4 linked regions of the Diceros bicornis minor genome follow. The protein of the gene in region 4 interacts with the protein of the main gene of each other region in a pairwise test. Links are inferred from orthologs where the notes say so. Each region holds a gene or a part of one and is shown on either strand. Other genes may lie near its edges. The genes, in order: MAPK9, CACNB4, TSSK3 and EFHC2.

Region 1 (6,831 bases), on a different chromosome or scaffold from region 4:
AGAGACATATACTAAAAAATTCATGGATGAAATCACATAATATATAGGATTTGCTTTAAAATAATATGGGGGGTGAGGGTGTAAGTGAATGAGGTTAGGGATGAAACAAGATTGGCCAGGAGTTGACAACTGTTGAAGCTGGATACCATCCTGTTCATTTTGCGTGTGTTTGAAAGTCCTCATAATAAACAGTTAAAATCAAGACTGATGTTGAAACTAGTTCACACAATCACAAAAGGCCAAGTACAAATTTAATTATTTTTAAGGAAAATTAAGTAAAAATGTCACCTTCTTAACCAGGAGTGAAGTATAACTACATATTTAGACCAAAAATAGCTGCCCTACTGCTGAATCAATAGCGTTAAGAAAAAAATGTAGTTTCTGTTTTACTTTATGCACCATAAAAACAATTGCTTTACTCACTATTAATTGCTTCACCTGGCACTTTTCTTTATCCAGAAAACTAAAATTTTATTTTAAATAGACAAACTGAAGTGTACGCCCTAACATTTATTTAGGGGGGGCCATATAAACACATTTTAGTCATCAACAAATTATTTAAAGTCCTGGCATCCTGAAAATTCTCAGGAAAATTTAAAAGCTCTCCAGAGAAGACTATACCAAAATAGGATTATTTTTAACCCTGTAGTATCCTTTTGAAGGGAAAAAAACGGTTAAATGAAAGAAAACATTATCTAGATCAGATGTTGTTCTTCCAGAACAAATTAAAAGCCAAAAGAGAATACTTAGAGCTGAGGGACTAGGAAAGAACGCTAATCTGGGGGAGACCTGGGTTCAAATTTCACCTTCCAGCTGCTGGCTGTGACGCAAACAGCTGAAACTCTGTGAGCCTCCATTTCCTCCTCTGCAGAAATGGGTTTCATAGGTGCTCCTCACAGGGCTCCAGTGACAATTAAAGGAGAGTATCTGGACAAGCAGGGCCTAGCTCCCCTGGCCTCAGGCTACCTTTCCAGCTCACTGCAGCTCTTCCCTCCTACGAACCTGCCCTGGAGGCTGACAATCCTGCAGCCAAACTGAATGAGGTCTGTATTTTGCTCAGCTCGTGGCATTAAATTTTTTTTTTTTTTTTGTGAGGAAGATCAGCCCTGAGCTAACATCTGATGCCAATCCTCCTCCTTTTGCTGAGGAAGAGTGGCCCTGGGCTAACATCTGTGCCCGTCTTCCTCCACTTTATATGGGACGCTGCCACAGCATGGCCTGATAAGCGGTGTGTTGGTGCGCGCCCGGGATCCGAACCTGCGGGGCCGCCCCGGGGCCGCCGCAGCAGAGCGCGCGCACTTAACCCCTGCACCACTGCCGGCCCCTGAAAAAATTTTTAATTAGCTACTGCCAATATTTAAAAATCAGGAGAGTAGAGATACAAATCTAGAATTCTGCATTTTAAAAAACGCTAGGCAAGGTCTGGTTCTCCGGGGTCCCCACCACTCCGGACTGTCTTACACCTGGCCCTGCAGGCCAACTCCCAACCCCACACCAGGCTCAAGTCCCTCCTTCGCCCTGCCCTACCCCTTTCTGTGCCTCTCCCCGCCTGGCACACTTCTCAGCACCACGCAAGGCCCGACTCCAGTACCACCGGTGGCCTCCTCATTTCCAGGGCACAGCCCCTCCACCGCAGAGTGGCACTCTGTCCTGGCACCGAAGGTCTGCACGTCTGCCTTCTCCACTGGGCTCTCCTGAGGAAGGGACCCTGTTGTATTGCCTTTGTGTCCTCAGGGTCAAGCAGAAAGCCTGACCCAGATAATGCAATGTCTCTTGAACGTGCGAAGTTAGAGCGACAACGCTACAGAAATGTAAGTTTATATCACAGCTTGTTCTGACAGTTACCAAATAAAGGGGTCAAGGACATTCAAATGTTTCACAAAACGAGAACCAGCTTCCATCCGCTTACAAGTTTCACTCGTCACTCATGAGTCACTACACGGACAGATAGAGCAGAGGCCGCAGGCAGGCAGAGTGGCTGCTTCACTCAGTGAACAGGTATTACTGAGTACTTACTGTGGGCTTTCTAAGCACTGGGGATAAAGCAGTGGACTAATTAGACAACTACCTGTTTTCATAAGGCTACATCCTAGTGGGGGAGACAAAATAAACAGACCCATAAATAGAGTCGTTTCACACCTGAGTGAATGCTTGGAGGAAAGTTAACCAACATGAGACAGAAGGACTACGAGAAGAAAGAGGGTGGTCACGGAAGGCCTCAGAGAGAAGGAGCCGTCTGACCGGAGGAAGGACCAGCAGGAGCCCCAGCTGTGCAAAGATCCGGGCGACGACTCCAAGCATTGGAAACAGTCAGTGCAAAGGTCCTGAGGTAAACGGGGCCACAGGTTCAAGGCGGGGGAGAAGACGGGTGGCAGAGGAGTGCGGTGCTCCGGGTGGGGGAGTGGTGGGGAGGTGGGCACGCCGGCTCTGGCGTCGCTGGGCACCGAGTGGGCAATGACGAGGCCCCGGAGAAGCGCGGGTGGGGGCTCCTGCCACACTAGCACCCGCAGGGGCTGGCTCCCGCCCAGCGCTTTCACACACCTTCCCCGAGCCTGACAACAACCCTGTCCGCAAGCCTGTCCGGGGGAGACCGGGGCGCCGTGAGGGTCGGCGCCCGGCCGGGCCCTGAGCATCCCGGCGGGGCTGCGGCTGCGCCCCACGGCGGGGGCGGCGCCCATGGACCCGCGGCCGTCTGCCCGCCGGGCCGGCGAGCGCGCAGCCCCGGGCCGCTGTCAGCGGCGGGCGGGGGCCCGCGGCGGCCGAGCTCAGGGGCGACGCCAGCGCCCGCGGCCCCCAGCCCCCCGCCCCCGCCGCGCCGCCCTCCCGCCGCCCCTCCCTGAGCGGCCCCTCCCCGAGCGGCCCCCGCCGGGCCTAGCCGCCCGCCCGCCCGCCCGCCCGCCGGCTCACCTCGCCTCTCCACCGCCGTGCCGGGGAGAGGGCGGGCGGGCGGACTGGCGGCGCTGCGCTGGCCGCTCGCGGCTCCGCGGCCCCGGCTCCGCCGCCCCGCCCGCCACCGCCGCCGTCGCCGTGGGTGTGAGGGGCGCCGAGCGCTTCGACCCTTCCGGTCCGCTCGCGTCGCCGCCGCCGCCGCCGCCGCGGTGCCCGCCTGACCGACCCGCGCGCCGGCCAATCAGTGCGCGGAGAGCCGAGCGGTCGCGGCCAATGGCGGCGGGGGGCGGGCCGGGCCGGGGGCGGGGCCGCGGCCTCGGCTGGCCGGCGCCCTGTGGCCGCAGGCGGGGTGCGCGCCGCTGTGTCCGTCGAGCCCGCGGGGCCCGCGGTGCCGCGGCCTGACAGCGAGCCGGCGGAGAGGGGGCCGGCGGGACCGAGGAGCCGGGCCTCTGGCTACACGTGCAGTGGCAGCGGCGATGCGGCCTGGACGGGACGGAGCCGGTCGGTGTGGGGACAGCCCGGGCGACGGCGCGGGGTGGTTCCCGGGAGGAGGAGGCGCGGCCGCGAGCGACTGGGGAGGGGAGGCGGGGGCCTCGGACGCCGCCGCTCCCTGGAAAGGGTTCTTAGGGGTGCCGCCAGCAATCTGAACGGAGCGGGTGCAAGGAGATGGCCATGTGCAGACAAGTGTCCCCGGCCGGTCAGTGACAGAGGAGGCCTAGACAGGCGGGTGCGCTTGGGGCAGGGTTCAAGCCTCTGCCTGAGAGGAGAGGGGCAGGCTCATAAGTAGGGGAGGGGAGTGCAGTGATGAGGGCCCCTAGGGGCTGGAGTTCGCTGACCCCGACCTCCGTTTGAGTCATCTCCCACAGCCCTCCGGCCCAGCTGGGTTCCAGCGGGCCTGGGAACGTATGAAATGATGGCAGAGGCCAGGGTATTGGGTATTCCGGATTCGCTTATTGGATAAGCAAAGCTGGAAGTGAGGCAAGGAGGCTGGACACAGGGGGGAAAAGCCCAGAGGGCCACGGATGGGGTGGGGGGAGTTGGACTTTGGAGATGGGGAGAGTGGGGGACTCCGGAGGAGGAACAGCCCTCACAGGAAGCCAGGGCCCACAGGGTGACCAGGGCGGGGTTTAAATTAGGGGAAAGGAGCAGGACCTTACAGATGGGGAGGTCTAGGGGCATAGGGGTATGGAGGTTGGTGGCACAATTTGGGAAGAGCAGCAAACCTGTGACCCAGGCCAGGCTGGGGGCACCAGGGCCTCAGAGGAGGGGTTGGGTAGAGGAAGGGATCCGGCCATGGTGTCCCTCTTAGGCACCCTCCACCTTGGCCACCAGAGGGAGTTTTCTAAGATTGAGTATGGCCCATCCCTGCTTGAAATTCTAGCTCCGGAGTGTGGCCTGCATTGAGGAGAGCCCACCAGGTGGGCTCCTGTCCTCACCTCAGCCTCACCTGCCACTTGCCCCAGGTGCACAACAGAAACAGGGAACCAAAAATGACTGCCATCTAGGATTATGGGAAACTAGTAAAGCCTGGATGTCAGAGCTGCAGGTTTACCAAGTCTCATGGGGGCTTCTCCTCAGATTAGGAAGGGGTACCCATTCCAAGACACACTCCAGCCTTGAGTTTTCAGCACTCATGCCATGCAAGGTGCATACCAAAAATCATTGTACATACACACACCTGTACATATTCCACCCTGAGTTTTCTGAAAGGAGTCTGCCTTTTTCTGGTTTATGAAATACAGTGAACATTTATGGGCACAGAGCTGAGGTGACAGTGCAGGGAAGGGGGCTGGTCCGTCCTTGGAAGAGTGCACGGAATTTGGTGAGGTGGACCAGTGAGAAGATCCTGCAGGTGTGATGAGAACTGCGATGAGGGGAGGGGCGCCCAGGAGCATAACTGACAGCTGACCCAGCCTGCCAGGTGGGAGACGCAGTTAAGAAGGCCTCTTGGACAGGAAGAAGCCCTAGCCAGGGTGGAAAGCCAGCAGGAACGTGCTGGGCCAGTGGTTTAGGTGGAAAGGGCCCTCAGACCCAAAGGTTCAGAAGTGAGGACCTGCGTGCTGCGTTCAGGGAACCACATGTCACCTGGTCTTGCTGGAGATAGGGGAGGAGGGACTGGAGAGTTATGAGGGCCTTCAGGTGAGCTGGCACTGCTGACTGGAGTCCCATGGGCTGGCTTCAGCTCACTGATATTCCCTGTTTAGCCCAGAGAGGAGGTTTTGTTTTTTAATTGACTTGCCAGTTACCAGCATTTAAAAATTGGGAGATTTCGCTTGAAAAAGCTCAGTTGTTTTCTCTTAAATAGTTAGAAGCTCTGGCAACATGGGGCCTGCATTGCCAGAGGGCAGTGGTCAGCTGGAACTGAGTGGCAGCTGCCCCTTTAGGTGAGGCCCCTAGTTCACCACAGTCCCCACCATTCCCTATTACCCATGCCTGGTTGCAACTTCACTCATCCCTTACCTGCTGGCCCTTGGGGCATTGCAGAGTGGAGGCCTGGCTGTGGAGATAAAGGGCAGCTGTTGATGGATATTAAGAAAAGAAGTGAGCAATGTAACTAGGAGTTTATTTTGGAAAGATTACTAGGGCATATGAAGTTTCAGGGATGTGGGGCTTAAAGCCACAAGACTAGTTAGGGAGCTATTGCAAAGGCCCTTGTGAGAGAAGATGAGGCCTGGCCTGGCCTGGGGCCGTGGTCTTGGCAGCAGGTGTCAAGAGGAAGGAACTGATTTTAAAACTGTTTCAAGGGCCAGCCCCGTGGCTTAGCGGTTAAGTGCGGGAGCTCCGCTACTGGCGGCCCGGGTTCGGACCCCGGGCGCGCACCGACGCACCACTTCTCCGGCCATGCTGAGGCCGCGTCCCACATACAGCAACTAGAAGGATGTGCAACTATGACATACAACTATCTACTGGGGCTTTGGGGGGAGGGGGAAAGGAGGAGGATTGGCAATAGGTGTTAACTCAGAGCCAGTCTTCCTCAGCAAAAAGAGGAGGATTAGCATGGATGTTAGCTCAGGGCTGATCTTCCTTACACACACACAAAAAAAGCTGTTTCAAGACTTTAGAGAAATGCAAATTAAAATCACAATGAACTACTATTACTACACACCCACTAGGATGGCTGTAATAAACAAGACAGACAATATCCAGTGTTAGTGATGATGTGGAGCAAATGGAACTCTCCCTACACTGTTGGTAGGAAAGCAAAATGGTATACCCACTTTGGAAAACAGTTTGGCAGCTTCTGATAACATTAAACATACACCTGTCATACCACCCAGCAATCCCATTCCTGGGTGTGTATCAAGAGAAATAAAAACATGTCCACACAAGGAGCTGTACACAAATGTTCATAGCGGCTTTATTTGCAACAGTCAAAAACTAGAAAAAACCCATATGCTTATAATCCAGTGAATGGACAAACAAACTGTAGTACGTCTATATGGCGGAATGTGACCTGCTGACAAGTGCACCACATGGATAAGTACCCAAAACATCATGCTAAGGGAAAGAAGCCAAACGTAAGGCTACGTCCTCTATGATTCCATTAATATGACATTACGGAAAAAGCAAATCAGATCATTGGTTGCCAAAGGTCAAGTACGGGGAGGGGAATGACTACAGGGGGGCTTTGAGGGAATTTTGGGGGATGATGGGTAAACTATGTTTTAATTATGGCAGTGGTCATATGACTATATGTGTGTGAAAATGCAGAACTGCGCACTTGGAAAAGGGTGACTTTTAGTGTCTGTAAATTATACTAAAATAAACTTGATGTAAAGAAAAAAAGCTGTTTGAGAGGTGGAATTCTCAGGTCTTAGTGAGAGGTGGGGTGTGGGGGTGAGGGAGGAGGAGGAGTTGGGGAGGACGCCATGGTTGCTGGCCTGGCTTTTGGAGTAGGGACCTCTGCCCTTGGCCTGCTCACCCTCCTGTGGAGAGGAAGGC
Region 2 (7,265 bases), on a different chromosome or scaffold from region 4:
CAATCTTACCAATCTGATTTGACTATTCAATTTTTTTTTTTTTTTAGTGAAAGGTATCCCTCCATATATTTGTAAATGACACGACAGAGAAATGAGCAGTGCTATTTTTATTGGTATCTCCACTATCTTCTTCATGTGCAAAAGCATCACACAGCCTGTGAAATATCACCAAGAAATTCCATCACTCCAATGTATCAAGAATTCAAAAACAATAAATCACTGGTCATTCTACAAATAATGAGGCTCTAATAACAAAAACAGCTGTTATGCTTTTTAAAAAAAAAAAAAATTTTTGGCATTTGGGTGAAAGCTGTTTAATTTTATTTCAAAAAGTATTGTTAAATTCCATTTGCAATCGTTTCTATTCTCTTGTCAAAGAAATAAAAATCCCTCATTTATTTTTATTATAGCCATTATGGAAGTCCATATTATGCTATTCAAATGAGATCAGGTGTAGGATACTCACAGAACTGTAAGTGCTCCCCGAAATTATGTATTATTTTTGTGCAGAAAAAAGTGGGAAGATTGTGTACATAATACTATTACAACCAACTCCTGATTTTAAATTAGACCATTTTATTAAACCAACAAACCCCAGTTTCAGAAAGACTTATGAAATATATTAGTTCTAAAAATCTGCATTGGTTTAAATTATTCCCAAAAGTATTTAGCATGCAATACTTTTTACATTTTTAAGCCAACACATGGCAGCACACTTAACAAGAACTTACACATGCATTATCTCACTTAATCATTTATTGGAGTAAATTGAGGAAAGAATAAGGATATTAGAAAGAATATTGATTGTTTTGTTTGTGTGTGGAAGACTAAAGCATTAGTGTAGTGAAGGTGTAGATGAACTCAAAACTTTTAGTAAAACAGATCATTGAATACACTGCTGAATAATTAGTATCTCTAAGAATTTTGCAACCATAAAACACTACCAAAAATAGGCACCTACGAAGTAGACATCAACAAGACCTCAAATGGTCACATAACTCGAAAATTTTTTTAAAGACGAAGAATATCTTTGACTTATCAAATACATAAGTAATCTAAACACTGCAAAGGGTATAGAACGCACTTTTACAATGAATTCAGAATACAAAATATATTTATTTTAATAATGCTTATGCTTAATGCTCACTGAATGAAAGAGTAGTAGTAATTTCTTTTTCTGCAGAAAATGAGTATCCGCATAATAAATATCTAACTATGTTTTCTGGACCCTTCAGGAGAGGTCTGAGTCCAATTTTGAATCTAATGCCCACACGTCGTGGATAATCTGTTCAAATTGATGATAATCACTAAAGAAACACACCGCAGCTGCCACCATAGGTTAAAAACACATTACACAATGCTCTGAGTGACCTGGGAGGAAAAGACCTTGGGAAAAGAACTTCCCAAGGTCACTCCAGCAGCCCACAGCGGAGCCCAGGATAAAAGAAATCCTCCCAGGTCACCCAGAACGCACAGACCTCGACAGTTTCTGTTCCAGAAAGAGATCAAGGTGACTCACTTTTGCATGATCTCTCCAGCACCCAGCAGCTATGTAGGGGTGGTTTCATTTACATACATGGACAGTATGAAAATTAAGGACCAATTTTCTGTGTCAAGGTGAAAGGCACCTAAGCGTCCAGCGCAACCGGCGATCTTTAGCATGCACCATGCGCACTAGAAGCACCGAGAAGAAAACCACCTCGAAAAAACAAACGCTGAGTGTAGTACCACTCAGACCCCGGGAACTGAGTGCCGGCCGTCGCTTATTTCGGTTTAATCAGATCCGGCAGCCTTTCCTTAATTAAGCGAACCAAAGAAGCGGTCCCAAAGTGAGACCAAACTTTCTGCTCAAAGTGTATTTCTTTTGACCAGAGCTCGGAGATCTCTCCCAAGACCTAGTCAGAGAAGAGTATTCAAAATAAGGCAAAAGAAAAGAGACCCCTAACTCTCAGCCGAATCAAACCAGTCCCAGGGGCTCTGGTTACGCAAAATCTAGTTACATGACTTAGAGACGTTTCCCCACACACCGAAGGTGCAACCAGAATTATTTTCAGTCTTAAATTCAACGTCCCCGATTTAAACCAGATCCCCGCCGACTTGCGTACACACGCACAAACTAAGTTCCCAGGGCGGTGCGGAGACGCCTGGACCTGAAGTCTCCGGGCGCAGGGGCACAGAGGGAGAAGGACGCAGCCGGAGCGCCCGCCCGGGGCTTCACAGAGGCGCGCGGAGACGCGACCCGCCGCTCCCGCACCGGGGGGCTGCGCCCGGCTCCCGGACCCCGGCGCCGCGCGCTCGGCCGCCTCCCCGACCTGCTTCCTCGCCTCCTTCCCGCGCCCGCCTCCTACCTGTCTGAGGATGAAGCTGGTCGAAGTGGTGCTGCCATCGGATCTTTTCAACCTGCTCCTCCGGGTTGTGGTGCCTCGGGCCACCTGGACTCGACACACGGGGCCAGAGAGAAGCCAGTGAGGACGGCAGCGTCGAGCCAGGCGACCACCCCCGCCTCCGGACCAGCTCCCCGGGCTCCCCCAGAGCCAGCACCCAAATCTCCTCCGCGGTCCCCAGGTACAGCCCCCACCCCTACCCACCCATGCCAAGCCTCGACGGCTGAAAAAACGCCCGAGAAGAGCCGCCTGCGAGCACCCACCACATCCATTAACAAAGACTCTCAGGGTGCGGGGTTCAAGTCCCCGGCATCGGCTGGGGAAGGCTGCGGGCTCCGGAGCGGGAGCGCAGAGACCCGACGAGGTGAGGAGGAGGAGGACCAGGAGGAGGAGAAAGAGGAGGAGCGGGAGGAGAAAGGGACGCGGGGGAGGGGTGGGGCGGCCGGCCCGCGGACTCTCAGGACTGGGGGCCCCGCGCGCCCGGCACGAAGGCGGGGCGCTCTCGGGCAGCGGGGAGGGAGGAGGAGGAGGAGGAGGAGGAGGAGGAGGGGGCGGTACCTGCGACGTGGGAGAGTGCGGCCCGTCCGCGGTCCCGTTCTTGGCGTAGGAGGAGGACATGGTTCACAGCCGCATGGCCCGCCCGTGCGCGGTGGGCGGAGGGCGGGCAGGCCCCCGCAGGCTCGCGGGCGGGAGGAGGGGAGGGCGGCGGGCGTCCCCACCCGGCTACGGGACCCTCGCCGGCCCCCGGGCGCCCTGCCCGCACTTCTGAGAGCGCGACACCTTAAAGGGACCGAGGCGCTTCCTCCGCGCCCGCAGGGGGGTCCCGGGCAGCGGCCCCGCGGGCGGAGGTCTTGCGGAGGGGGCTTCACCGGATCTCGCCTGCCCGAGCCGATTGGGAGAAGCGCTCTCCCACCTAGCGAGCGCCTTACATCAGAGCTTTCCAGAGGATGCAGGGAGGGGAAAAAATCTGGGATGGGGGTGGGAGGATTAAAATAGTCTGCACAGTTTAAAATGAGACAAAGGTGGCACGGTTCATGAATCAGGACTTGGGGAGGGACGCTGGTGCAGTGTGGCAGGGCGTGGGAAGAGCCAGCCGGGGCGTGTGTGTGTGTGTGTGTGTGTGTGTGTGTGTGTGTGTGTGTTTACTGCACTGGAATTTTAAAAAGGCAAGAGCCGACCCTTCCTTTCGCGACTTCACCCGTCAGCCCGCTGTGGTAAGGCATGGGGTTTTGTGGTTTGCTTTTTGTCCGTGTTTTATTTTGTTTTGTCAACTCTAGCCTCAGAACCGCGAGCCATACACATCCAGGCAGCCGCGCGAGACTCTGCCAGCCTGAGTCTGACGGGAGATGCGGCCCCGCAGGCGACCAACATGTCCTGAGGAGTTTTGAAGGTCATTTTAGACCTGCTAAAAAGCAAGAGTTGGCCACGTGCCTTCCATTTCTCCGCGGATAGCTGTTTGCTAGGGAGGAAACTCCTCCTTGAAACCGTACACAGTCTTTGCCATTGTTGCAACCCTTGGTTTCCTCCGGCAAATACATACAAGGGATTAATCTGAGATCAAATTAAAAGAGAGGGAGAATTTGAAGTAATAAGAAGAGGGAAGGAAAATGTAGGCGAAATCAAAAATAGAGAGACCCTGTTTAACTATAACTACTGAATGAGAAATCCATCATTAAAATATGCATAGTATCTCAAATTGTTAAATCAGCCGGTGTCACCTTGCCTTCTAGGATTTTTTCTTATGGAAACTGCCATGTTTAACAATTAGTTGGCCTTATTGAGGTCCTGACTTCCTTTCCTTCACCTAATCCAGACCTTCATTTCTTTCTAAGTCTAACAACTAGTCTCCTAGCGTCCAGGCTTTCTCCTGCACACACATACACACACACACACACTTCATTCCATCTACATATGACAGGCAAAGCCATTTTCCTCAAATCTCTTTGCCCAAGTCACTCTTCTCTAAAATGCACTCATTGCTCTCAGCATCCCATGAGCTGGGTCCCAACTCCATGTTCCAACAGCCAAGCCCTTGTCTCCTGCTTTTCTTGTCACCACCTCATTTCTCCACCTTGATCTCTCCATACAGACCTTCTAGCAAGCAAACAGGTCTACTGGTTGCTGAAACATAGCAAGTACAATCCCACCTCAGCACCTCTGCCTTGGAATGGAACCTACCCCCAACCCACACACCCTTCCTCCAACCCTTCCTCCAATCCTGGCTCAGCTCACTCTTCCTCCACAGAAATCCTCCCTGACCACTCTAGTCCTGGATAGTTTCTCATGCCCCTGAAAAACCGGAGCATTTATTCTCTGGACACTTAGTACAGGCTGCCTTGGTTTATTAGTTCTCTTTTTGTGAAAATCTCCTAATTTCTAAAATAGATTTTTAGCTTTTTATCTTCTATTCTTATACTCACATATAGTAGATATTCCATAAAGTTTATGGGTAATGGTAAGTCTGCCAATGCAGAACTTTCTGCCGTAGTTACCGTCAACTCAATCCATTTTTAGTTCTGAGTCATTTTTATAGTTGATACTTAATCAATATACAGAGAATGAATTATTATGTGGGCACTGGAATTTGAGTTTTCTGGTTTTCCACTGCACACAGTCTCTCTGACTGTGAGTTATCAAAAGAGAATCTACAGCTGCGTGACAGTGAGGAGTTCTCTGCACCTACCCCACAGCAAAACTGGTGAAAATTATTTAAAATATTTTTTTAAATCTCTGAAAATGGTCCTAAGAGTCCACAGCAAATGAAGAAACATTTATTCAAGAAAATTTACTAAAACTCAGTAAGAAAACTGGGAGCCTGTAGTATTTGAACCAAGCCCCACTCCCTCTCTCTCTGCTTGCATGCAGTTCAGCAAGAGGGAAATTCACTCCACATTGGTGCAGCAGAGAACGCAGGGCTCCCTCTTCCCTCAGCTCCCAGCAGGAGGGTTATCTTCCTGGGAGGGACAGGACATCAGCATTTATCCACCTGCCCCAGCTATCTGCTGCTGAGGCTAAGTTCCCATCAAATACAGAAGAGAGGTGGGGGCTTCCTTCTTTAGCCCTGCCCCCACTCATGGGATGGAGGCTGTCCGTTGGGTGAGCACCACTGAGAATACAGGGCCCTGACTGCTCATGGAGAGGCAAGCCAGGAGACCTGGGACTGCTGCCCCTCCCTACCAAGTGCTCAGCTCCTAAAGTGGGGGTGTCACTCTGAGAGAGAGGTACAGCATTGTCCCTGCCCCCAGAACCAGGGCTGAAAGAATGAAGTTGGACCCCTACCTCACACCACACACAAAAAATTAACTCAAAATAGGCCAAAGATGTAAATGAAAGAGCTAAAAATGTAAAACTGTTAGACAACCAACCAGCTGAGAGAGAATATTTGCAAAACATACATCTGACAAGGGGTTGATCTCCATAATATATAAAGAACTCACACAACTGAACAACAAAAAAACAAACAACTCGATCAAAAAATGGGCAGAGGAAATGAACAGACACTTCTCCAAGGAAGATATACAGATGGCCAATAGGCACATGAAAAGATGCTCAACATCACTAATCATCAGGGAAATACAAATCAAAACAACACTAAGATACCACCTCACGCCCGTTAGAATGGCTGTAATCACCAAGACAAAAAACAACAAATGTTGGAGAGGATGTGGAGAAACAGGAACCCTCATACACAGCTGGTGGGAATGCAAATTGGTGCAGCCTCTATGGAAAACGGTATGGAGATTCCTCAAAGAATTAAAAATAGAGATGCCCTATGATCCAGCCATCCCACTACTGGGAATCTATCCAACGCACCTGAAATCAACAATCCAAAGAGGCTTATGCACCCCTATGTTCATTGCAGCATTATTCACCATAGCCAAGAAGTGGAAGCAACCTAAGTGTCCCTCGACTGACGATTGGATTAAGAAAATGTGGTATATATATACAATGGAATACTACTCAGCCATAAAAAAAGACAGAATTGTCCCATTTGCAACAACATGGATGGGCCTGGAGCGTATTATGTTAAGTGAAATAAGCCAGAAAGAGAAAGACAAACACTGTATGATCTCACTCATGTGGAATATAAACCAACACATGGACAGAGAAAACTGGACTGTGGTTACCAGGGGCAGTGGGGCTGGGGGTGGGGGGGGCACAAGGGGTGAAGGGAGTCATATATATGGTGATGGACAAACAAAAATGTACAACCCAAAATTTCACAATGTTAGAAACCATTAAAACATCAATAAAAAATAAATAAATAAAATAAAATAAAATATCAAATCAACCAAAAAAAAAAAAGATGTAAAACTGTTAGAAGAAAACGTAAGGGTAAATCTTCATGACCTTGGATTTGGCAGTGGATTCTTAGATATGACACGAAAAGCTCAAGCACTAAAGGAAAAAAATAAATAAATTGGACTTCGTCAAAATTAAAAATGTTTGAACTCCAAAGAGCACTGTCAGGAGAGTGAAAAGACAACCCACAGAATGGGAGAAAATATTTGCAAATCATATATCTGATAAGACACTTGCATCTATAAAATATATAAAAAACTCTTACAGCTCAGTAATAAAAAGACAACACAATTTTAAAAATGGGCAAAGAATCTGAATAGACATTTCTCCAAAGAAGATTTACAAATGATCAATAAGCACATGAAAAAATGCTTGACATCATTAGTCATCAGAGGAATGCAAATCCAAACCACGAAAGATACCACTTTACACCCACTAGGATAACTATAATCAAAAAGTCAGATAATAAGTGTTGGCAAGGATATGGAAAAATTGGAAACATAATACACTGCTGGTGGGAATGTAAAATGGTGCAGTCACTTTGAAAAACAGTCTGGCAGTTACTCAAATGGTTGAACA
Region 3 (7,502 bases), on a different chromosome or scaffold from region 4:
CTGGTGCTTCACGATGCTGCTCTGGTGATTCTTGTACATAATCTGGTGTGTTCACCAATGATTTAAAGGGATGGTGGTCAGGGATGCCAAGAGAGTGGTGTTCATTTCCACTTCAAACCTTCAATGAGGGGGTGGGATGGAGAGAATGCTGAATCTTTTTTTGATGGGATGGGATTTTTCTCTTTGTAATTATTTCTTTAGTTTAATTAACCTTTTGGTTGTTTGTGCAATATTATATATTTTAAATTATAATGCATCTCCCCAGAGTATTTTGTAGCTGGGAAAAGAAAAAAGGAAAAAAAAAAAAGATTCTAACAGCTGTTAGTTTTGTAATTAAAAAAGAAAGAAAAAAGAACTTTGTCCTGAACCTTTTCCAGACTTGCCGTTAACAGCATTAAAGAGATTCAACAGAAGCTGGAAGGTGTCTGGGGGTCTGTTCTTGTCCCCCATGGCAGCTGCCCTTGGAGGCAAGGCAGAATGCACGCCATGTGCAGGGTGGCTGCCCACTTGGAGCCTGGGGGAGGGGGAGGGATGGGGGTTAGCCTGGGTCGTGGGGAAGTCCCTTGTCCTCATCCCAGACTCAGCTTGGCCTTTGGGATGAGGAAGGGACAGGGCCTCCAACAGACCTCTCACCAAGACAAGGAATCAAGACCATTTCTGCATTCCCAACACTTCTGCTTTTATTTGGAAAGAAAGTTGCAACAACAGTGGTTCCGATTGCTCTTGGTCATTTTTCTCCTCTCCTCCCCGTGTATGTGTATGATTCTGGGGTCTATTTTTAATTAACTTTAGTTAAACACCTGTATGAAAATCACTTGTCAGCCTTAATAAAAGGGAAGTCTGAACGAGGCCCTCTGGTTCCATGAAGATCTTTAAAGGAAAAGAGAAGTAAGGCTGGGGAGGGTGTAGGTAAGTTTTAGGATAAGTAAACTTAAAGTGTAAAATATATATCACCATTTTAGAAGCGGGTTTTGGGTTTGCTTTCTCCCCCTACTTTATTGGGGAGGACTTGCCATTGCTTTTACGAAGTGCTTGCTAGCCATGGATGCCAACTAACTTCTTCGATGGAAGGCCGGAGAGTCATGTCTGGTTCCAGGAGCCGCTTGAGCAGGTCCTGGCATTCAGCCGAGATGCCCAGATGAGTGGGGAAGGACACCCCCTTCTGCTGCTGCCACAGCATCTTGGGGATGTCTGTGTCGTCAAAAGGTAGGCTGGCACAGAGCATGACGTACAGGACCACACCCATGCTCCAGACATCACCCTTCTTGCTATCGTGGGGAATACCCTGCAGCACCTCAGGGGCAGCATAGGCTGTGCTGCCGCAGAAGGTTTGGCTCAGCTCCCGGCGTGACTTGGGCAGCACCTTGGCGAAGCCAAAGTCAGTCAGCTTCAGGTTGAAGCCTTGCAACAAGGCGTTCTCGCACTTGAGGTCTCGGTGGGCCACGCCACAGCCGTGGCAGTAGCGGATGGCCTCGACCATCTGACGGAAGAGGGCCTTAGCCTGGCTCTCAGGCAGTGGCCCCCCATTCAGCACGCAGTCAAAGACATCCCCTCCCTCAGCCAGCTCCATCACCAGGTAGATTTTCCCATCGGCGGACTCCAGCATCTCATACACCTGGATGATGTTCTTGTGGTCCAGGATACGGACGATCTGGAGCTCCCGAGGCAGGAATCTCTGGATAAACTCTGAGGAAACAAGGGGAAAAGAGATGGGGTATCAAGGCTGGAAGGGCCTAACTCCTTACTCCTGTCTCCTACCTTCCAGCTTCTGTCTGCCCATCACGTCTGGGTCTTGTGCCTTGGTTGCCTTTAACAGTCTTAAATGTCTAGCTGCTTGGACATTGCAAAGAATGTTCACCTCTATTATTTTTGCATTAATATATTATTCAAAGGAACTAGTCCCTGCCAGCCTCAGGGACTGTTGTGAGCAGCCTGTGAGACCTTGGATATCAAGGTGCTTTGGGGACTTGTAGACAAAGCCATTGAATCTCAGTTATTAGGCCTGATTTGCCCACAGTGAGGTGAGCGAACTCCTTCCACCCCTGCCTCCTGACCCACAGTTCTTTCCATGAGCCCTGTCTTTCCCATCTCTACCTGCCTTGGCACCAACTCCTGCCCTCTGCTAGCCCTGGCCGTGGCCTCTCTCTGTTCCCCTCCTGGAATAAGAGAGGCCTGGCAGGCTCAAGTTCTGCCTCTGAGGACTCTCCACCTCCTGCCACCTTAATTTTGGGTTTTGGAGGGTGTGATGTTCCTGGACTCCCAGCATTCTCTGTTCCCCACTGACCTACCCCAGAGGCACCATCTCTCTTGCTTTCCCTGGTTCCAGACTAAAGGGAGGAAGGAATGAGCCTTCTGACTGGAGGAAGCACCCACCCACCTCAGCCAGCCCTCCCTTCTTCCAAAGGGGCCCCAGCTCACCTTCTGGCCCTCCCATCTTGTCTATAATTTTAATTGCCACTTTTCTTTGGTGTTTTTTGGAAAATGCTTCTTTGACTTTTGAGTAGGTCCCTTCCCCAATGGTCTTGCCCAGCTGGTACCCATTGGAGAGCAGAAAGTCCTCCATGCTGTCTAGCGCCTCCTTCCTATCACCCTCTCAGCTCATGCTGCCTCCAGGAGGCAGCTCTACTCCACCATTGCCCTTGGCCAGCTACTTTTCCCCCCAAGGACTTCATCCGCAGCCGCCCCCAGCGCTAGAACATTCTCCGTCTGTACACAGCAGCCGCGGGTAGTGGGAAGGGAGATGGCCGGACATTTTAAAACTTCGGCCCAATTGTGATGTAAATGCTGTGTGACCCTTAGCCAAAATGGGCAGAGCCCGTACCTGCCCTCAAACGACCACCACCAAACCCAGCGCGGGTTAAGTCACTGGTGCGCCCCCGCCCCCACGCCAGGCAGTGAGTCGCAGGCTTTTCGGGGGGGGCGGCGCACACGGGTGTCTGCGCGGCCCAGGATGCCGAGCTCCCTTTGGTGGACGCTGCCTCGCAGCTGGTTGCCGTCTCCTCCTGCGCCCCCATCGGGCAGCTGGGGGTCTGCGCGACCCAGTGTCAAGGCGCCATGGCAAAAGCCCTCCGGCACCTGGCTCGCGGCCGCGCTAAGTGCCGGGGCGGCGGGGAGCGCTGGGGGATTCCTCAGTGGGAGGAACGGGTTCTGTGAGGTCAGCGCGCCGCGGCCCGGGTCACAATGCAGCCCTCCCCCTCGACGCCCGGGCCCGGACACGCCGCAGACACCTGCCCGGCTCCGCTTGGACCGGAGCGTCCTCCCGCAGCCAGGGCTCAGGCAGCTGCTTTCAGCCTGGGTCCGGCCTCGGCCTCCGGCAGGTGAGCAACGACCCAGGGCGCGGGCGCGGGGAGGGGGCGCCTGGCGGCCCGGGAGCAGCCTGAACGCCACTCCCCGCGCAGAGCGCCCCGGGGCCTGGACATGAGTGCCCGGGAGCCCCCGCAGGGTCGGAGATTCCCCATTGAGGCCGGAGACTCCCCTGGCCTTGCTGCCGCCCCCGAATCCCAGGACAGCCCAGAGCCGGTAACCACGGAGCACAACCCAGTCAGGTGAGGCCGGCGCCCCTCCCCCCGCGAGCCCTCTTGCCGTCCCGGCCCTCCCCACCGTCCCGAGGGGGAGCTGGGCGGACGGCTGCGCGCCGAGCGCTTCCGGCCCCGCCCCTGTCCCACTTCCCATCCCCAGACACCCCCGTCCCCCCAGTAGATGACCACATCCACGCCCAAACCTCGGGGACCCCAGGTGCCCTCCCCGGGAGCGTCCCCGACAAGATAGGCCGGGACCCCGCCTCAGCGTCCCCTGTCGCGCCCCGTCTCTCCAGGCCGCTTCGACGCTGCCCGGGCTGCCACTGCCTGACGCTGCTGCACGTGCCCATCGACGTCTATCTGGCCATGGGCGGGAGCCCCCGGGCCCGCGCCACCTGAGTGCGCCTGCGCACGGCGGCTCCGCGGGAGCCGGGCGGGAACGAGGCCCGCCGCGGGCCACCACGCTGAAATCGCGCACACAGAGCACGAGACAATGATGCACATTTTAAAATAAAAGAATGATGCACATTTTAATAAAGCACAGCATAAACTGTTCTTTCCACTCCGGGCTGGCTGTGTATGTCTATCCCGTCGGACCGGGCCGACCTACTGCTCCGCCCCATCCAATAGCACCTTCCCTTGGGCTGTCTCCTCCTTTGGACCCAGCCCTAGGGGCATGCTTTTCCGGGTCCCCTTTCTTCTTGCTGGGGGCCAACCCCTCCCCCCATTTGTTGCTGGTCCTGACCTCTTTCAGGACTACCTTTCAGCTTGGGCCCTCCCTCATCCTTCTTCCCATCCCTCTCCTTGGTTCTTGAATGGAATTCGCATTACTGTGCTGGACTCAGGGAGCCCAGAGCAGCTCACCACTGGAGAGGGATGGATAGACAACTTAGAGTAGAGAGAATGGCCACCCACACCAGGCTCACTTAATTCTCCCAGGATGGAATTAGCTTTTGCTACCTGCTGTTTGTTACCCTGGGCACCTCTGGCTTTGTTGGAGGGGTTAGGAGCTGCCCTGTCCATCTTGAGTCTTGGTTATTCCTAGAAAGAAGATTGAGGAAGAAGTTGTTTGAAAAACTTTGATTTCTTATTCCTATTTTACAGGTGAGGGAACTGAGGCTTGAAAGACTTGTCCCAGGTCCCCCAGATGATGGGTGATGCTAGCACATTCCTCAGTGTCCTCAGACTTAATGCTCTAAAAGCCATCCATAAGAGGGGCCATGACACGAAGGCTGCCTGGAAGTGCAGTATTTAAGCTGAACGAGTATTTTCCCACTTTCTAATTTTGCTTTGAAGAACCTGCATTATTATATATTTTTTTGCTGTCCTTTTTTTATTTTATTGAGGTCATAATAGTTTATAACATTGTGAAATTTCAGTTGTATATTATTATTTGTCATCACCATATATATGTGCCCCTTTACCCCTTATGCCCACCCACCAAGCCCCTTCCCCTCTGGTAACCACTAATCTATTCTCTCTGTGTGTTAGTTTATCTTCCACATATGAGTGAAATCGTATGGTGTTGGTCTTTCTCTGTCTGGCTTATTTCACATAACATAATACTCTCCAGGTCCATCCATGTTGTTGCACATGGGATGATTTTGTCTTTTTTTATGGCTGAGTAGTATTCCATTGTATATATATAACACATCTTCTTTATCCATTCATCAGTCAGTGGACACTTGGGTTGCTTCCACTTCTTGGCTATAGTGAATAATGCTGCAGTGAACATAGGGGAGCAAAAGTCTCTTTGAATTGTTGATTTCAAGTTCTTTGGCTAAATACCCAGTAGTGGGATAGCTGCATCGTATGGTATTTCTATTTTTAATTTTTTGAGAAATCTCCATACTGTTTTCCATAGAGGCTACACCAGTTTGCATTCCCACCAGCAGTGTATGAGGGTTCCCTTTTCTCCACAACCTCTCCAACATTTGTTGTTTTTTGTCTTGGTGATTATAGCCATTCTAACATGAACCTGTACTATTTTAACACTGGAAATAATATATGTAACCCAAACGTCAGGTTCAGTCTCCTGTCCCCTGAGATCTAAATACAATTGACTCAACACCCCTCCCCTAATCCACATGGGGTAGAAGTCCAAGCCCTCCCCAGAGCACTTCAGAATCCCATGGTCACGCTGAAGGGCAACCTTTCTCAACTTCCACACAAAATACCCTCCCAGGCAGTCCCAAACGTTATTGGGACTTATTGGCTTATTGAAGGAGAGGACGTTTGCCAAAAAAAAGTCTACTTCAAAGTGAGGACTTTAGACTTGACCATTCAGTCCTCTGGTCCTTTAAATACCCTGGCTCTTGAAAGCCCCTCCATGCCTATCTTTCCCCTTCACCAGGATAATCCCTGGCTTCAGGCCATAGAACTGGCCTCTCTCTCCTTCACTCCTCTCCTCCTCCACCCTGACCTCCTGCAGAGCCCTACTCCACCCCCCAGGGACTCTCGGTTCCTCTCTCTATTAAGTAGAGTAATCCAGCTGTTCCCATTCCCACCATACTCCATGTAAGCCCTACTCAGCCTAGCAACCTATGCTGCTGCTCTGCAGAAAAAGGGCCTTCCCCCCCCCCCCCCCCCCCGTAAACAGTACTCACCCTCCTTAGGAGGCCATTGTAATTTCAGAGAGAAAAAATTATTGGCCTCTGTATTGATAAGTTCTCTCCACTGCGAGCAACTGAAGTTAGCTTAAGCAAAAAAGGAATTGATTGTTTGAAGTGGCTGGGAAGGACATAAGCTAGTGATTAAAGGAAGAACTGTAGGAACCAGGGCATCCTTGGGCTGGAACCAAGGATTCAACCCCACCAGACTGCCCCATCATTCTTGATTATCTCCTCTGGGCAGGGAACATGGCTGCAGCAGCTTGGAAATCCCAGGAAGGGAGCTGCTTTCTCCAGTCTCAGTATACCTATCCCTGGAAGGGCAATAACTGGCCCTTCTTAAATCATGTGCACACTCCTTGGGCCAATCACCATTGTCAGAGAGATGGGAGACTATAATTGACCAGGCTGAGCCATAGGTAAGCCTTCCCTTGAGGTGCAAGCATAGCCGGATGATTGACAGCATCATCAGAAAATAATGAGCAGAAGTTGAAGAAAAAACATTCTGGGATCAGAGACAGCTTATGCAAAGATTGGAAGATTGGGTATGCTGGGAGAAAAAGATACCTGCAAAAAAGGGGTAGAGAGTGGCAGGAGTCAGGATTCCACGGAACTCTGTTCCATGGCGATCAGGAGCCTTGGACAGTGTTACCAGTCATCAGATCACTGGGTTCTAGTTCAGGCTATGTCCCTGACTCAGACAGTACAGGTCTACCAGCCAGGCCCGTGCAGGGCACTGGGGATTCAGCAGTGACCTTGACAGACATGGACCTCGGCCCTCATAGATCTCACATAGCCTACTAACGACCTGCTGGCAGGCCTCACTCAGTCAATTCCCTTCCCTCTGGGCCCATTTCCTCACTGGTATAAAAAAAAGAAAAAACAAAAGGCACCAGCTGATCTCTAGGACCTTGCCAGCACCAAAATGCTGAATCCTTCCCATTCTTCCTTTCTCTCTTCTCTTTTCCCTTACTTCCTTTCTCCCATCTTCTCAACCCTCCTTTCCTTTAAAAGATTTATTGCCACCTCCCATATGCTTGGATATTGAGGGATGCCAAGATTCCAAACACAAGCCTTGCCAATGGGCCAGACCCTGGGGCTAGTTAGCTCTAGAGTGTCCATGAGCAAGGGGAAAGGGCATGCCAGGTGGAGGGAACATTGTGGGCAAAGGCCCAGAGGCAAGAAAGTAGAGGGCAAGTTCAAGGAATTCAGTTCAGTCAACTTCCACCAATACCTACTTGAGCCACACCAGGTGCTGAGAACCCAGGCCTGAACCTGACAGATCCCTTGCCTTTGCTCAGAATTGAGGGGATCCAGGGAGGGGTTCACAGAAGAGAAACTGGGTCAAGGAGGCCTTGAGTTTGAACTTTATTCT
Region 4 (7,398 bases):
AATCAGGAATCGCCTGGTCAGCATTACTTAGGTAATCTGCCTGATAAACCTCTGCCATTCTCTATAAGGCAAGTAACCTTAGGATAATCAATCCAATTTTTGCCTAGTACAACTTCCTTGTTCCTGCTCCCTTCTGCCTATACAATCTCTTGCCTTATATAGCTCTTCGAAGCTCTTTTCTATCTGCTAGACTGGATGCTGCCTGATTCATGAATCACTGAATAAAGCCAATAAGATCTTTAAAATTTACTTGGTTGAATTTTGTCCTTTAACAAATGGTTCTGGGTCAACAGAATATCCATATAGCAAAAAAATACGACCTGACCCCCACCTCTTTTCATACACACATGCACAAATTTCTTCCCATTAGATTATAGATCTAAATGTGAAAGGTAAAAACAACAAAATTTCCAGAAGATAACACAGGAAAACATCATCATGAACTTGGTATAAGGAACTATTTCTTAAACAGGAAATAAACAGACTAGAAGATATTTGCAACACATATATCGTACAAAGGAGCCATATCCAAAATCTATATAGAACTCCTACAAATCACTAGGAAAAGGCAGGCAACCCAGTAGAAAATCAGACAAGAGCCAGGCACTACACAACAGACAATATCCAAATAACCAATAAATGTATGAAATGTGCTTAACTTCATTAGGAATCAGGGAAGCGCAGATGAAAACTACAGAGTTGCACTACATCCACTGACCAAAGTAACTAAAATCTAAGACTAACAGTATCAAGTGTTAGAAAGAATGTGGAGCAAGAGGAACATCAAATGCTGGTGGGAATTTAAATTGATATAATCACTTTGACAGTGTCTACTAAAGCTGAACATACGAATACCGTATGATCTAGCAATTGTACCAAGAGACATGAACCAGAATAGCCACAGCAAACTATGCTTAATAAACCCAAACCAAATCTGTCAAGAGAAAAATGTGTATATAAATGACGTCACACTCATACAATGGAATACTATAGAGCAATGAAAATGTACAAACTACCTCGACAGACAGCCACATGAACAAATCACAATGTTGAGCTAAAAAAAGCCAGTCACAAAAGAATTAAACACTGGACATTTCCATTGATAAGTTCAAAAGCAAGCAAAATCTAACTATAGTGACAGCAGCCAGGATAGTGGTTACCTTTAGAGAAAAGGGAAGGGGTAATGACCAGAAAGGGTCATAAGAAGGGTTGCCACATAAAATATAAGATGCTCAGTTAAATTTGAATTTCAGATAAAGAACAAGTCATCTTTTAGTATAAGTAGGTCCCAGGGAATATCTAGGATATGTATTTTTATTTGCTAACTCTGGCAACCGTGTTAAGAGAGATGCTTTTGGAATACTGGTAATATTCTATTTCTTGATGTTCATCCTGTGATCATCCATTGTGCATTTTTCTGTACATGTGTTGTACTTCACAATAAAAAAAAGTTAAAAAAAAAAGCAAAAGTACACTCAGTGCAGCCAGCAGATTTTAAAATATCTCATCCAACCACTGTTTTTCCTTCCCACTCTTAATCACTGCATGTGAGAGCTGGGAAACTTCTGCAGGAGGTGGGCATCTGTAATCTGAAGTGACGCTGGGCGAAAGCTGTGGGCTCTACTTTCAATTTTTATTAAACTTACTTTTATACAGCATGCTTCTTTCCTTCTGGAATCTTTTTTCATGCCCTGCCTCTCAGAGGTCTTTCTTATTTGTGTGGCTGGCTTAACCTTACCACAGGGCAGTGCTAGGCTAGAAGGCCAGCCTCTACCCTATCAGCCAAGAAATACACAAACCACTGTTCAAGAAGCAAGTTGGACTAACCAGCCGATCTGTGGGGGTCAGAATCCAGTGGTCTGAAGCCAGGAAGAAACTGGTACTTGGAGGCCGACAACTTGGACATAGACACTGTTCAGACTCCATAAAATCGAACGCTTCAATCTGCTGCCTGTTTTCCAAATTTATCAGAGGTTTACACAAACACCTTGAGTGGCTCCATCTAGTTCCCTCCCACCAGTGGATTACTTACCTTCTTCCTACAGACACAACGGACATTCCAAGTAAAAAGTAGTGACCAGTGCAAACAAAAGCTTGAATCATTTCTCTGCTGTTGTTTAAATAAGGGGCTATTTCCTGGCAAAAGTTCTTTCCTGCTCAGGGTTTTTTGTGTTGTTATGGTGTTTTGTAACTTCATCTTGTTTTGAAATGAACCCCTCCCAATTCTAAATAAAGAAAAGAACTTTAAGTTTGGGTGCTTCTCTCTATAAAGTTTAGGATCCAACTTTATAAGCTGGTGGAACCCTCACCTATCTGCCCCCTACTAGCCTCCAGTGTGCCAGGTTTCTTCACTTTAATAACAGAAACTTCCTCTAATTAAGGATAATAATTAGGTTCCTGGGCTGTGGAGACAAGTTGCCTGGAAGAAACCCAGCTTCACCACTGAGATTGTGTAGCTCTGGCCAATGAGTGACTCATCGCTCTGTGCCTCAGTTTCCTCAACTGTAAAATGGGAATAAAAATACTACCTAAAACAAAGGGCTGTTGGGAGCATCAAACGCCGTGTAAGGCGATGAAAGCACAGCGCCTGGCACACCTCAAACACTCAACGACGGTTGTAATCATCATCACTACCATCGGCTACCTCTGAGGGTCCTGCCACCTCTAAGGACTCTACTTATGTATCTCATGTAGGAAAAGCATCCAGATGCAGTTTGAGAGATACAGGGAAGGGGAGGCCCAGAACAAGGGTCCCACCAGCCTATAAAGTTTGGTCGAAGTTGTGCCCAATTCACCTAGAAGGCGAAGCAGAGGCAGGAGGCCTCCAGTAGGGTCTAGGAGGAGACCACGCCTGGACCCCACACTCCGGCCGGGACTTCTGACCCTGGGCGCCCTCACTACTCACGTTGCGCTTGAAGCTGTGGCCAGGCAGAAACGGCAGGGCCATGGCTCTGAGCGGCCAGGGCTCAAGGGTCCCGGAGGAAAGGGACCGTCAGGCAGCGGCCGCCCCTCGGCCGCGTCGTTTGACCCCCCCCTCGTTACTTAGAGACGAGAGGCGGCGTCACCGAAGGAGGAGGGGCTGCGGCGGGCCGGGGGCTCTGGGCGGGGCCGGGGAGGGGCGGGGCCAGGCGGGAAGCTCCCCGCGCGCACCTCCTCCCCCGCCCACCCCGGCTCAACTCCGCCGGCACGCACAGGTCCCCCGGGGCTTTTCTTTCCACACGCATTGTGCACAGACAAAGACTGGCAACTGCACCATTCCCCGCCCCCGCCGCTTTCTAGTTTAACCCCTTTCTAGAGCTCAAAGGCTTTCCGGTACTTAAAGCTCCTGCGATTCTTGCCACAACAGTTTTTGCCATTTGGTTATTAAATTTAGTTCAAACAGACAGAAAAGCGCAAAAAAGAATATGACACCCGCGTGCTCGTGCTCACAGAAATGTAACGCTAGTTAATGTTACATTTACATCAGCCTTTATTTTGTAATTAAAACGTTCGAGATGAAGCCAAAGCCACACACACCCCATCCGTCTTCGCCCCTCCCCATGAAAACCCATTCAGCGGTAACCACCATCCTCAGTCCTTCCCCTGTACATTTTTATATTTGAAATAAATATTTGTAAAGTGCTCGTTCCTGGCCCAATCAGGGTGGCCAAGGTGTGGTCAGTTGGCACAAAACGCGGCCCCTGTCACCCAAGATGCCAAGGCCAAGAGCCTCCTCGATTCCTCTCCCCCACACCTACAGCTAGTCCCTCCCTGAGTCCTACTGGTTGGACACGCTGGCATCTCTTAGTCACCACCTCCTCTCTCTCAGTTGAGGCCCCATTATTTCTTGCCTGGTTTTCTTTCAAAAAAAAAACCAACAAACAACTAAATGATCTTGCCTCCAGAGCCATCCTATTACAATTCGTGATGCACCTGTTACTCTTCTGCTTCAATATTCTTCTAGCCTTTCCGCCCGCCGCCTTCAGGATGCAAACTCCTTAGCGTGGTCAGAGATTATGTCGGGGGGGCCTGCCAACGCCCTCCATCCCTGTCTTTGCCCCCCGCCTCTACTCCAGCTCTGAAAAACCACTGCCAGTTTCCAAACCAGACTCTACGGTGTCTTCCCTCTGGGATTTTGCAAATGTCGCTCACTATCTGCTAGAAACACCCTTCCTTCCTATCTTTCACCTGGGTAACCCCTTCTGGTCTTTCAGGACTTGGTTCAGTGTAGGAAAGAGGCATGGAAGTCTTTGCCATTTCTGGAAAATGTTCCTTCACCTTCTCCACTCCCCCATCTGTATTAGATGCTCATTCTAATTGTGGCTTTCCCGGTACTGCGTTGTAATCATGCGTTTACTTGACTCTCTTCAGATGCCCCCAAATTCCTCCAGAGCAGAGACTTTATCTCCTTTTTTATTCGTAAACAGCATACATTATTCTTTTCTGTGTTTATAAATTTTACACTATAAATTTATGCTGCCTGCTTTTTTCACCTAAAATTTTGGTTTTGAGATTTCTACCTGTTAACACATGTAGATATATTTCATTCATTTTAAACATTGTATGATTACACCACAAATTACTGATCCATCTTTTGTCATCTGATGATGACAATTAGGTTGTTTCCAGTTTTTCACTAGTTATCGACAATGCTGCAGTGCACAATCCTCTCCTGTTCTTTGGAGGTTTTCTAGGCTACATACCCAAAGGTGGAATTGTTCACACTTTCGACTTTATTAGATCTTGCTAACCAACTCCAGAATCGTTGAACCAATTAAGAAAGTTCCCTTTCCCCTTCATCCTTTCAACAATGGGTATTATCAAATTGTATAATTTTGAGCAATCATCTGAAAAAATGTGAAATGGTATACCATTCTTATTTTAATTTGTTTCTCTCTAATTCCTAGCGCAATTGGTCATCTTTCCACATCTTGTTACCGTCTTCTGTGACTCATCTATTCATATCCTTTGCTGATTTTTCTATTTGATCATTTGTAATTTTTTAAATATATTCTGGATACTAATCCTCAGCACAGCAAATATCTTCTCATCATTTGTGGTTTGTCTTTTAATTCCATTTATAGAGTTATTCATTGTACATGAATGTGTCCTTTTACTCTACTCAAATAGATCATTCTTTTCCATTATGATTTGTGCACTGTATGGGAATTCAAAAAATTCTGTAGAACAAAATTATTCTCCTACACATTCTTACAAATATTTTCAAATATTTCTTTTTTGATACTTTTTAAATTGAAATAATTTCAAACCGATAGAAAAGTTGCAGGAATAGTACAAAGAACTCCTGTTTACCCTTCACCCAGATTCCACCAATTGTTTTGTATTTTACCATAGTTGTTTTATCATTCCCTTTATATATACAATTTTTTCCATTTTAGAGTAAATAGCAGACATCATGCCCCTTTACCCCCTAAATATTTTAGTATATATTTCTTAATAACAAGGACATTCTCTTACATAACTGAAGCATATAATAATCAAAATCAGAAAATTAGTATTAATAAATACTATTTTCCAATCTAAAATACATATTCAAATTGAGTTAATTGTTCCAAAAATATCCTTTATAGCAAAAAAATTAATTTAAAAAAATCTGGCCCAGAATCTGATCCAACATCACACAATAGTTGTCACGTCTCTTTATTCTCTTTTTTTTTTTGCTGAGGAAGATTCATCCTGAGCTAACGACCACTGCCAATCTTCTTCTTTTTTCTTGAGGAAGATTCGCCCTGAGCTAACATCTGTGCCAGCCTTCCTCTATATTGTCTGTGGGTCGCCACCACAGCATGGCTGCTGATGAGCAGTGTAGGTCCACACCCAGAACCAAACCCGTGCAGAAGGGGAGAGCACAGAACTTAACCACTAGGCCAGGGGGCCAGCCCCTATTCGCCTTTAATCTGAAAGGATTCTTCCATCTTTCTTGTCTTTCCCGACCTTGATATTGTTGAAGAGAATAGGCCAGATATTTGGTAGAATGTTCTTCAATTTAGGTTTGACCGCTATTTCCTCATGAGTAAATCCACGGCTTTTTGTTTATGGCTTTTTGGCAGGTACACCACAAGAGGAATGCTGTGTCCTTCTCATTCATCAAAGAAACAGGTACATAATGTGTATTTCAACCATGAATGGTGAGGTTAACTTTGATCACCTGGTTAAGGTGGTGTGTGCCAAGTTTCTCCACTGTAAAGCTACTGTTTTTCCTTTCCAATTAATAAGAATTTTGTGAGGAGATACTTTGAGACTATATAAATACCAAGTTCCTCATTAAACTACTAGTGTCAATTGAGGATTTTGCCCAAACAATTTATTACCATTATGGTTACCAAATGGTGATTTCTTAACTCCATCATTCCTTCTACATATATTAGTTGGCATTCTACTTCAAGGACGTACTTTTCCTCCCTCTCCATTTATTTATTTATTCATTCATTTATATCAGAATGGTCTACAGGTTCTTATTTTCTTCAGTGGTTTATAATCTCTTACTATTATTATCTATTTTGAAGCTAAAAGTGTCCCACATTTGGTCAGTGAGAGTCCTTCTAAGTTTACTCCTCTGTCTTTTTGATTATCCCCACCATTTTTCAAGCACTTCCTTGTGCTGTCACTACAAGATATTCAAGATATCTATGGATATAGGTAGATGTAGCTATGCACATATAGTTATATCTCTTTCCATTTCTATCTATAGATAGATAGATACAGATATAGGTATATGTAGTAATAGATATATTAAAACCCATGAGTTTATACTGGTATGTCCAATTCCAATAACACAATAGAGTACATGTTCAAACTCCACTTTCCACATCTGTAATGCTCTTCTCAAATAGTAACAAACCTGAATCCAATTACCCTGAAAATATTTACTTATTTGTTCAATACTAAAAGACCCCTGAAGCAGTTTCAGAATATGTAACTCATGTCGTTGTAAAAAACAAACCTACTAACTAGAGTTCAATGTTTGTTTTCAGGTTTTTTTCTTTAGTCCTAATATATTTAGTCAAAATATTGTGTTTCAAAATGACTGATTTGTTTCCTCTCTCCCCTCCTCCTCTTCCTGTTTAGAGCATTTATGTTAGTTAAGTTACTCATTTGAAAATCAGTCTGGTTCATTGTGTTCCCATGTGTATTCCACATTAAGTTTTTGCTCTGTCCTTCTCTGTTTCTTCTTTGTCTTTCTTATTTTGTAGCTGTGTTTCTCCCTTTTTCATTTGATTAATTTAGCTAGTGGTTTATATGTTTTGTTACTTTTTTCAAAGCACCAGAATTTTGCTTTATTACTTTGACCTACTATTTTCTATTCCTAATCTTCATTATTTTTCTACTTTATTCTTTTATTTTTATTGCTATAAGTGTTTAAGGCTATGAATTTTCCTCTGATCTCTACTTTAAATG

The links.
Region 1: the proteins of EFHC2 (region 4) and MAPK9 interact in binary tests that used the Homo sapiens proteins (3 or more experiments, as listed by UniProt). The two-hybrid records come from large-scale screens. The link is inferred for Diceros bicornis minor from reciprocal best matches to the Homo sapiens genes EFHC2 and MAPK9.
Region 2: the proteins of EFHC2 (region 4) and CACNB4 interact in binary tests that used the Homo sapiens proteins (3 or more experiments, as listed by UniProt). The two-hybrid records come from large-scale screens. The link is inferred for Diceros bicornis minor from reciprocal best matches to the Homo sapiens genes EFHC2 and CACNB4.
Region 3: the proteins of EFHC2 (region 4) and TSSK3 interact in binary tests that used the Homo sapiens proteins (3 or more experiments, as listed by UniProt). The two-hybrid records come from large-scale screens. The link is inferred for Diceros bicornis minor from reciprocal best matches to the Homo sapiens genes EFHC2 and TSSK3.

Annotation. Positions count from the first base shown.
Region 1 is NC_080740.1:93,220,372-93,227,202, forward strand, and holds the start of MAPK9 (mitogen-activated protein kinase 9), read right to left. Parts: upstream 3,015-6,831; 5' UTR 2,908-3,014; intron 1-2,907. UniProt on the Homo sapiens protein: Serine/threonine-protein kinase involved in various processes such as cell proliferation, differentiation, migration, transformation and programmed cell death.
Region 2 is NC_080749.1:35,966,100-35,973,364, forward strand, and holds the start of CACNB4 (voltage-dependent L-type calcium channel subunit beta-4), read right to left. Parts: upstream 3,003-7,265; coding exon 2,943-3,002; intron 2,738-2,942; exon of another isoform or gene 2,657-2,737; coding exon of another isoform or gene 2,648-2,656; intron 2,433-2,647; coding exon 2,349-2,432; intron 1-2,348. UniProt on the Homo sapiens protein: The beta subunit of voltage-dependent calcium channels contributes to the function of the calcium channel by increasing peak calcium current, shifting the voltage dependencies of activation and inactivation, modulating G protein inhibition and controlling the alpha-1 subunit membrane targeting.
Region 3 is NC_080752.1:47,104,852-47,112,353, reverse strand, and holds TSSK3 (testis-specific serine/threonine-protein kinase 3), read right to left. Parts: upstream 2,564-7,502; coding exon 2,419-2,563; intron 1,687-2,418; coding exon 1,022-1,686; 3' UTR 523-1,021; downstream 1-522. Other genes in the region: protein FAM229A, read left to right, coding at 3,181-3,317, 3,399-3,545, 3,815-3,917. UniProt on the Homo sapiens protein: Serine/threonine protein kinase required for spermatid development and male fertility.
Region 4 is NC_080781.1:38,620,842-38,628,239, forward strand, and holds the start of EFHC2 (EF-hand domain-containing family member C2), read right to left. Parts: upstream 3,008-7,398; 5' UTR 2,948-3,007; coding exon 2,906-2,947; intron 1-2,905. UniProt on the Homo sapiens protein: Microtubule inner protein (MIP) part of the dynein-decorated doublet microtubules (DMTs) in cilia axoneme, which is required for motile cilia beating.